2 linked regions of the Macaca fascicularis genome follow. The protein of the gene in region 2 purifies or fractionates together with the protein of the main gene of each other region. This does not show direct contact. Links are inferred from orthologs where the notes say so. Each region holds a gene or a part of one and is shown on either strand. Other genes may lie near its edges.

Region 1 (4,282 bases), on a different chromosome or scaffold from region 2:
TTCTGTGAGCTTGTGAGGCCATTCTGCACATTTATCAAAATGAAATCATTATTCAGTAACCTTTATATATATATATATATATATATGCAATTTTTTTTCCTTTGTAGAAAACCAAAATAATTTTACAAACTATATTTAACTTAGAATATAAAGAACTGACTAGTGTAAAATTTTGAAAATCTACCACTTTATTTTGAAGGAAAGTATACATCCTTCAAAACTCCACCAACAATTCCTAGTCCAGTTTTCTATTGTACAGATTAAAAAGTTAAATTCCTTGTGGCACTAACCAAAACTTAAAAATTAACAGAAGACTGAATTAATTAAAAAAAAAAAAAGCATACTAACTAATCAAAACAATCCACTGTGCAATGAATATTTGAACAATGAAAAAAACCTACCAAGCATCCCAGTCAATTACATAGTTCTTGCTTCCATATTTTAATTTTGGACTTTCAGGAAGGTATATTATTAAACAGGTCGATTTTGTGGACTGTTTAAACCTTGTAGTATTTCAAAATATTACCCTTTCTAAACCAAATCTGTGGTCCTGGTCAACTTTTTTTTTTTCAAGAAAAAGAAAGGATATGTGTTTAAAATACATTCCGTAGCAGTAGAAACATCTTAGTGTCTCAAAATCTATTTACAAAGAACCCTGCTGATCCTGTGCATTTCGCTGAGGTGCTACTTGCACCCAGACTTCATCATCTGAAAAAGAACTTGAACTTCCTGACTCAGAGTCCAGCTCACTGAATCCATCTAAGTCCCATTCAGTACTAGACTCACTCCGTGCATCATCTTCCTCAGTAATAAAACTCTGACCAGGTTCAAGGCAGGAAGGATAAACACGGGCACAAAGGCAAATAAAGCCAGAGTCAAACTGCAAAAGGCCTAACATAGTACCTATATTAATCCACTGATCTTCCCTAGTATCATACTCATACACTGTTACTCGGTTCTTTTTCCATTGTGGGGTTGTAGAAGTGATGAGAAGCAACTTTCGGTCATGATTGACAATCTGGTAGTTGTGGGTCTCTGAATCCAAAGGAATATTACTAATCCGCCTCCATTCTCCCCTAGCTGGGTTGTAGACCTTCATGACTGGGATGTCACAGATACAATAGATTTCATCATTGAAGACACATGCTTCCTGAAAGTCACTGCGTTTAAGAGAAGCACAGTTCAGCCACATATTGTGGCTAGGATCATAGCAGAGCATGCGCTTACTGTTGACAGCATAAAGATAGTTCTGAACCACTATGAGTTCAAAGGAATAGAAGGAATGAGGGACAGGAGCCACCAATGCCCACTGGTTTCTCTGAACACTGTAGCATTCCACTTCCTTCAACTTAACTCCAGTAGTAGGGTCTCGCCCCCCCAAAATGTAGATGTAGCCATTGAGATATGCCACATCCATGCCCTCACGACACAGCAAGCGATCTGCAAGTTGCTGCCAACTATTCTGAGCTGGTTTATACACCCAGAGGTCTTTCCTTGGCTGGGCAGCTAGATAGATGTCATGGTCTGGGGAGACACAGACAGCTGAGGAGGTAACAGTCTTAGTGTGAGCAAAGCTGGTCAAAGGTGATGGCATTGTGTAAATGTCCCCTGAGTAAGGGTCATAGCAGAGAAAGGGATCTCTCGGGTGTCCAAAGAAGATCACCATCTCCTTGGCACACATACCCAGTCTCTGGGGTGGATTTTCTGCTGCAGATACAAGAGAGTTGCTGCTGCTACTGCTGCTGCTGCTGCTGTTTGGCACTGGCACCAGAGACTTGTACAACAGGTCACCATAGCGCATCTGCAGGGCCCCTTCAATAACGTCCAGGCAGTACTTCTTCACGATGGGCTTGGTCAGCAGCCCTTCTAAGTAGTCCTGATCTTCTTCAGTGAAGTGCATCCAGCGCACGCACTTGAAGACTTCCGCAGCACTGGGACCCCGCTCCTTGGGAGCAGCCTCCAGCCACTGCACAGCTACATGGCATACAGTCCGCTCACTCTCTATGTCCAGACTATCCAAGCGCAGGACAGCCAGCAGCTGGGCCAGGGTCAGATCTGCTAGAGTCTCTTCCCGAATTGAACCCATTCGGCTGAGCTGCTTGAAGTTCTGAGCTATATAGGACTGGGCCTGAGATCGAAGCTTGTGATGGTCGAAGGCGTCTGCAAACTTGAGGATGGCGGTGCAGTTGGTCAGGTCAAGACGTCGGGCTAAGAAGGAGGCACAGGCTTCCCGCACATACTCCAGTTGCAGCATGTCGGAGGCTGCGTACAGGCGCTGCACATTGGCCTCGCTGAGAGAGACACGACCCGTGTAGCAGTAGTCGACCAACACCTCGAAGGACTCGGCGTCCACATCGTGCATGGTCACGCTGGCCTGCTGGCTCTCGTACATGCCACCTGTGAACATGCTCTTGAAGTAGGGACACGCAGCTGCTAGCACGTTGCGATTGCAGGAAAAGAGGCGACCCGTGCCAGGCCCGCTGCCAGGCGTCACCACCTCGATGGTCACATCACACAGCAGCCGCGCGTCGTAGAAAGACTTGAGCTGTGCCAGCAGGGCTGCAGAATGGGCCGTGTCCTTTAATTCCTCTGGACCCGTGAAAAAGGCCGAAACCGAGGGCTTGGAAATCCTCTTGGGCCGCCTCCCACCGCGGGGGCTGGCGAGGCGGCGAGAGCGCGGGGCGTCTTCCCGGGACTGCATGGTGGAGATGGCGACGGGCGCTGATAGCGAGAAAGGCTGCCGGACCCGGCTCTGGCTCCTCCTCAACCTTCCCTCGCTGACGCTAAGACAAGCCGCGTCCTGGAACAGACTGCGGCACGGGCCGCACTTCTGAATTCAGCCTTAGCCCGCGGTGAGGTCTCCCTTTATTGCGTAGACAGTGGCTGACTCACCCTCTCTCACTCCCGCGCCCTTTCTCCGCCTCCGCTCGCCCTCACAGGACCCGCTGGCTTGGAGCCGCGGAAGGCCCCACTGCCGCGCTGGCGATCCCGCTAGGCGCCCAGGAGAACTACCGCTTCCAGGTTGCCTTTCGCGCCCCGAGGCCTGCTGGGGCTCTCGGACGGCCGGGCGGGGACAGAGGGAAAGAAACCGCTTTGCATGTTGGGAGTAGTAGTTTGTGTAATATCGCGAGCTTTCCTTTCGCTGACTGCCCTAACAGTAGAAATTAATTCTGGATATGATGGTGAAGTGACGATGTCTCACTATTGTTGTCCAGGCTGGTCTTGAACTCCTGAGGGCTCAAATTATCCTCCTGCCTCTGCCTCTCAAAGTGCTGGGATTACAGGCGTGAGCCACCGGGCCCTGCCAGTATTTCATAGGGTTTTGTGTGATTGAATGATACGTTACATAGGATACTTAGATACATGTATTTTTTTGGTTAGAAGAACAATAAAGCGTTACCCCGTGCCTAGAATGTAGCCAATAATTGTTAGATTCTCTTTTATAATTTATGATAAATGAGGCACCCACTAATTTGAAACCAAAAAATTTTTAAAATTTTTAAAATTATTTTAAACCGCAAAATTTTACAAAGAACTTAGTTTTTAATTTTTATTCTTTTGAAAGATTTTGAAGGGCATTAACTATTTTCAATGTTAAATGGTACGTATTGGCCTTGTTTAATAAGGATGTCTTAGACGACTAGGTTGAGGTCCTAAAGAACGGTGTTAATAGATGGCCTCAAATATGCAAATCGGGCATATAAAAATAGATTATTTGCTACTCTCACTAACATTTCATCTCTGGGGAGCAGGAATATTTTCATTAAGCTCCAAATATGAGTGTTTTCAAGTCGTCTAATACAGTCTCTTTCACTGCCATTCCACATATCAATTAACAGATTCTGTAATTGCCTTTATTAAGGAGTTTTAGGGAGTATTTAACTCAAAATATTTCAAGAAACAGACTTTGTTCTGTACAAAAGCACGTGATTCTCAGAATTCAGCATTAGTACATGCCCTGACATTCCTTGAATTAACATACAGTATAGCCTATGCTTTACAAAAGTCTTTTATATTTGCATTGATCAACAGTTAAATCATCAAAATCAAGTATTAGAGATTTGAGGCAGGAAAATAGGGTCTGGAGGCAGGGAACATAAGGCCGATTCACACTTTAGCTATAACAAGAAATACCCTCTCCATAGGGTGTATGCCGAGTAAATGAGTTTGTAACTTTAATTCATTCTCTTCGTTTACATAGGGTATACACCAAGTAACCAGTGAATCCTCTAGAGGGTATTTAAACCTCCAGGAATTCTGTAACAGGGCCCTTGAGCCCTGT
Region 2 (4,297 bases):
CAAAAACCTGGGAGCCACTGGTCTAGAAAAAAATGGTGCTTATGATTTTTTGAGATAATGATTATCAAGCAATGTTACACAGGACATGAGTTCCTCTAAAGTTTAATATTTGAATGCTGTGTCCAGGCGCAGTGGCTCACACCTGTAATCCCAGCACTTTGGGAGCCCGAGGTGGGTGAATCATGAGGTCAACAGATCGAGACCATCCTGGCCAACGTGGTGAAACCCCGTCTCTACTAAAAATACAAAAATTAGCTGGGTGTGGGGGCGTGTGCCTGTAGTCCCAGCTACTCAGGAGGCTGAGGCAGGAGAATCGCTTGTTCCTGGGAGGTGGAGGTTGTCGTGAGCCAAGATCGTGCCACTGTACTCCAGCCTGGTGACAGCGCAAGACTCCGTCTCAAAAAAAAAAAGCTGTGTCAAATATTTGTAGTACTTATTTTTTTAAGATAATGGAAAAAGAAGTGCTTTTAGAAAGGCCATAACCCATCTTTACTCCTTAATTTCTCATTAATCCCAACATCACCCTTAGACACAGCCTAGTATCTCCAATGACGCTCCTCTTAAATAAGCCTTGCCTAGACCTGCTTCTCAACACTAACTGTTCTTTCTACCTAGAATCCCCTCCTCTCCCAGCCAAAGGATCTCTCCTTTAAGATCTAAATTGAGTTTTTCCAGTAAACTTTCCACAACAGTCACAGCCCATTGTTTTCTCTCCTCTCAACTGCCAATTTACTATCTGTACATCTCATTATTTGGTAGTGACCATATACTTGCCAACTAAACCTGAAGAACCTTGTCTTAGCCACTTCCCAACCCAATGCCCCGAAGACTGCTTTCCAGAGTAGGTTCTCAAATATTAGGCAGTATAGCAGACATGAAGAATATACCTTAAGTCTTTCTCTTTCTATGTCTGGTTTGAGGAGCTTTCTCAGGAACCGGTTTTCCAGTAACTTTCTTTTTTCCCCTCCAGTCTTTGGACAAAGTATGGAGTTACAAACTTGAACTGTACTTTTATACTTAAACAAGGGCACATTCATTAAACTCTCTAAATTCTGAAATCGCCCAAAGTTTTCTCTGTGCTTTACGATATTGATGGACCTTCTTCCACGAAGCAATCTGAAAGCTTCAAGTTCTTTAGTAGATGCTGTATTCAACACATGCAAGATGGAAGCCTGCTGTTCTGAAGAGAAGAGCTTGTCAAGTGCATTTTCAGGCTCCTTTGCATTTTCATCACAAAAAGTAACATTGGGAGTAATTTTCTTAGGTGTAGTGGATTTTTTCCGACAGCAGGAATTATGTAAGACCCGGAACAGGGATGACCTCGACGGGGCCAGAAAGCATCTCCACCTCTCTAAAAGGAAAATGTAGCAAAATGTAAGTTGGATGTCCTACTTCCTTTAGTGTTAGTTGCAAGCTTGACTAGATCCTTTGCAAAGTCACAAATACTTTCCCGGAATTTAAGAACTAGTAGAGGACAATATTAAATTGTCCTGGAGAATCATCTTTAAAAGAGGATTAGTTTTTAAACTATATTACATAGAGTTTTAAATACAGCTTTTGTTGTTTTCAAGTCACGAGAGATGTCTTCCGATTTTTATGGATCAGTCCAAAGTTTTACTACCTAGAAAACTGTATTTTACACCCATTAGGAAGAAGGTAGTTGAAATAATTATTCCAACTGCTTAACGTTTTTGATATTTTTAATTTAGAGGAATCTTTTTGTAACTAATATTTCCTGTTAAGGTTTGTCTTAGGCCGGGCGTAGTGGCTCACGCCTATAATCCTGGCACTTTTGGAGCCGAGGTGGGAGGATCACCTGAGGTTGGGAGTTCGAGACCAGCCTGACCAACATGGAGAAACCCTGACTCTACTAAACATACAAAATTAGCCGGGCGTGGTGGCGTATGCCTGTAATCCCAGCTACCTTCAGGAGGCTGAGGCAGGAGAATCGCTTTAACCCGGAAGGCGGAGGTTGCGGTGAGCCCAGATCACACCATTGCATTCCAGTTTGGGCAACATGAGTGTAACTTGTTTCAAAAAAAAAAAAAAAAAAAGGTTTCTCTTCACTTCCATTTTCACATTTTAGTATCTCATCTGGTGGAACTGAATAAAATTAAATTTTATACGTTTATAAGAAATGTTTCGCCGGGCGCGGTGGCTCAAGCCTGTAATCCCAGCACTTTGGGAGGCCGAGGCGGGCGGATCACAAGGTCAGGATATCGAGACCACAGTGAAACCCCGTCTCTACTAAAAATACAAAAAATTAGCCGGGCGCGGTGGCGGGCGCCTGTAGTCCTAGCTACTCAGGAGGCTGAGGCAGGAGAATGGCGTGAACCCAGGAGGCGGAGCTTGCAGTGAGCCGAGATCGCGCCACTGCACTCCAGCCTGGGCAACAGCGTGAGACTCCGTCTCAAAAAAAAAAAAAAAGAAAGAAATGTTTCAGCTAAGTGGTAGATTTAAGGGCAGTTTTATTTTCTTCCGTACACTTTTCAAGATTTCTACCATGACGTTTTTGCAAGTATGAGAAACACCATACAATGCATAACTTTGTAAAACCAGTGGGAAGTCACTCTAACATCGCAGCCACAGGAAAGTAATGCGGCCAGAGGTAAGCAAGCGGCTGTGAGAATCTGAACCATCCGCCCACTCTGAGGAGCCACCTGTGGAACCTGAGGCCAGGGAAGCACAAATGTTCCGAAAACCGCCCCGTCAACTAGGCTGGGGCTCCAAGAGAGGGGCCTGAACAAGGGACATGAGGGACATGAGGAAGGAAACACTCCAGGTTCCTCCAGAATACCTCCAGCCCTATTCCATTAGCCTCTAGGGTCAGAGGCTAGTGACAGACAGGAAACTACCCCAGTGTGCCAAGCACCCTACCTCCCGCCATGAAGAGGGTAGGGCCGCTCATCTCCAAATTGAGTCAGTAGGTCCGGTCTTCCTCCATTGACTTCCGGTTCCTGCGTGCTGCGCCCAAAAGCGCTCGGCCTGCACTCGGCGGAAAGGTTGTTGTCCAAGCGGCGTTCCGGCGCAAGGCCGGAGATGTGTCCCGCTGAGCAGTGGGTTGTCCGCGTCTGCGCTGCCGGCTTCCGAGCGGGCGCCTGCCGAGGCCCTGGCCCCGGATTCCGAGTCCCGGGCTGGCCGGCAGTCTTCTTCCACTGCACCGGGGAGACGTTCTTGCCCCTCCCGACTCCTGAGAGCCGCTAGGCCGAATCTCCAGGAAGGCAATTCGGAGGCCAGTGTTAGTCTCTAGTGGGCAAAGTCCCTCCTTCGTGGAGACTCCCTGGGTTTCTCGTAGACACTTAGATTGAGGAGCTCCTGTTGGGGCCCAGCCTGTGGCGCCGGGAGCGGGATCTGGTGGGGGCAGCGTAGACAAGGTCCTCAAATAACCTTTTCACCAGATAGACTGGAATAACGGGGAGAGATGCGAAGTGTTTCAGGAGCTCAACAGGGAAACAGGGCAGGCAAGGGATTAGGGAAGGGCGAGGGAGGAGGAGATTGCGTTGGCGCTGGAGCGGTATTCCACTTAGAAGGGATAAAGGGAGATGAATGTGGCGCCGAATTGAGTTTGTCCTTGAATGCTGGGTGGAGCAGTTGAATACTCCACCAGGGAGGAAAATGCCTGAAGTCCCCGAGGTTTATGATTTGCAGAGTCAGACTGGAGATGTGTTTCTAGAAAATTGGCCGTATACTGTATACCGAATGTGAGGCTGGATTGGAGGTGAAGAGCCTGGCAGCAAAGAGAAGTTGCCTCTCCTCTTCCCAGGGGAGAGGCAACCGTAAGGATTTTTTTCTTTTTTCTTTTTTTTTTTTGGACAGTCTTGCTCTGTCGCCCAGGCTGGAGTGCAGTGGTGCGATCTCGCTGCAACCTCCGCCTCCCGATTTCAAGCGATTCTCGTGCCTCAGCCTCCCGAGTAGCTGGGATTACAGGCGCGCGCCACCACGCCCGGCTAATTTTTGTATTTTTGCTAGAGACGGGTTTCACCATGTTGGCCAGTTTGGTCTTGACCTCCTGACCTCAGGTGATCCGCCCACGTCGGCCTCCCAAAGTGCTGGGATTACAGGCGTGAGCCACTGCGCCCGGCCAACCGTAGGGAATTGAACCTGGGAGATGTAAGGAGAGTAGAAAGAAACGGATTATTTCTGGAAGATGGGGAGCCAGTTTTGTGAAAAACGGGGAATTCAGGAGGGAGGGAAAGGTGATGAGTTTGTGTTTTTATGAGGCAGCAATGGATTGATTGTTTTGTGTCTGGAGGGCAGTGGGGATGTGGGGGAATCATAAGTATTAATAAAATGTGCT

What was found.
Region 1: the proteins of TEFM (region 2) and KBTBD7 purify together in Homo sapiens (co-immunoprecipitation; 5 studies listed by BioGRID and IntAct, counting the BioPlex papers as one, with this or other methods). This does not show direct contact. The link is inferred for Macaca fascicularis from reciprocal best matches to the Homo sapiens genes TEFM and KBTBD7.

What each region holds. Positions count from the first base shown.
Region 1 is NC_088391.1:20,547,789-20,552,070, forward strand, and holds the start of KBTBD7 (kelch repeat and BTB domain-containing protein 7), read right to left. Parts: upstream 3,014-4,282; 5' UTR 2,702-3,013; coding exon 644-2,701; 3' UTR 1-643. UniProt on the Homo sapiens protein: As part of the CUL3(KBTBD6/7) E3 ubiquitin ligase complex functions as a substrate adapter for the RAC1 guanine exchange factor (GEF) TIAM1, mediating its 'Lys-48' ubiquitination and proteasomal degradation.
Region 2 is NC_088390.1:38,407,362-38,411,658, forward strand, and holds the start of TEFM (transcription elongation factor, mitochondrial), read right to left. Parts: upstream 2,951-4,297; 5' UTR 2,909-2,950; coding exon 2,878-2,908; intron 1,352-2,877; coding exon 888-1,351; intron 1-887. UniProt on the Homo sapiens protein: Transcription elongation factor which increases mitochondrial RNA polymerase processivity. Regulates transcription of the mitochondrial genome, including genes important for the oxidative phosphorylation machinery.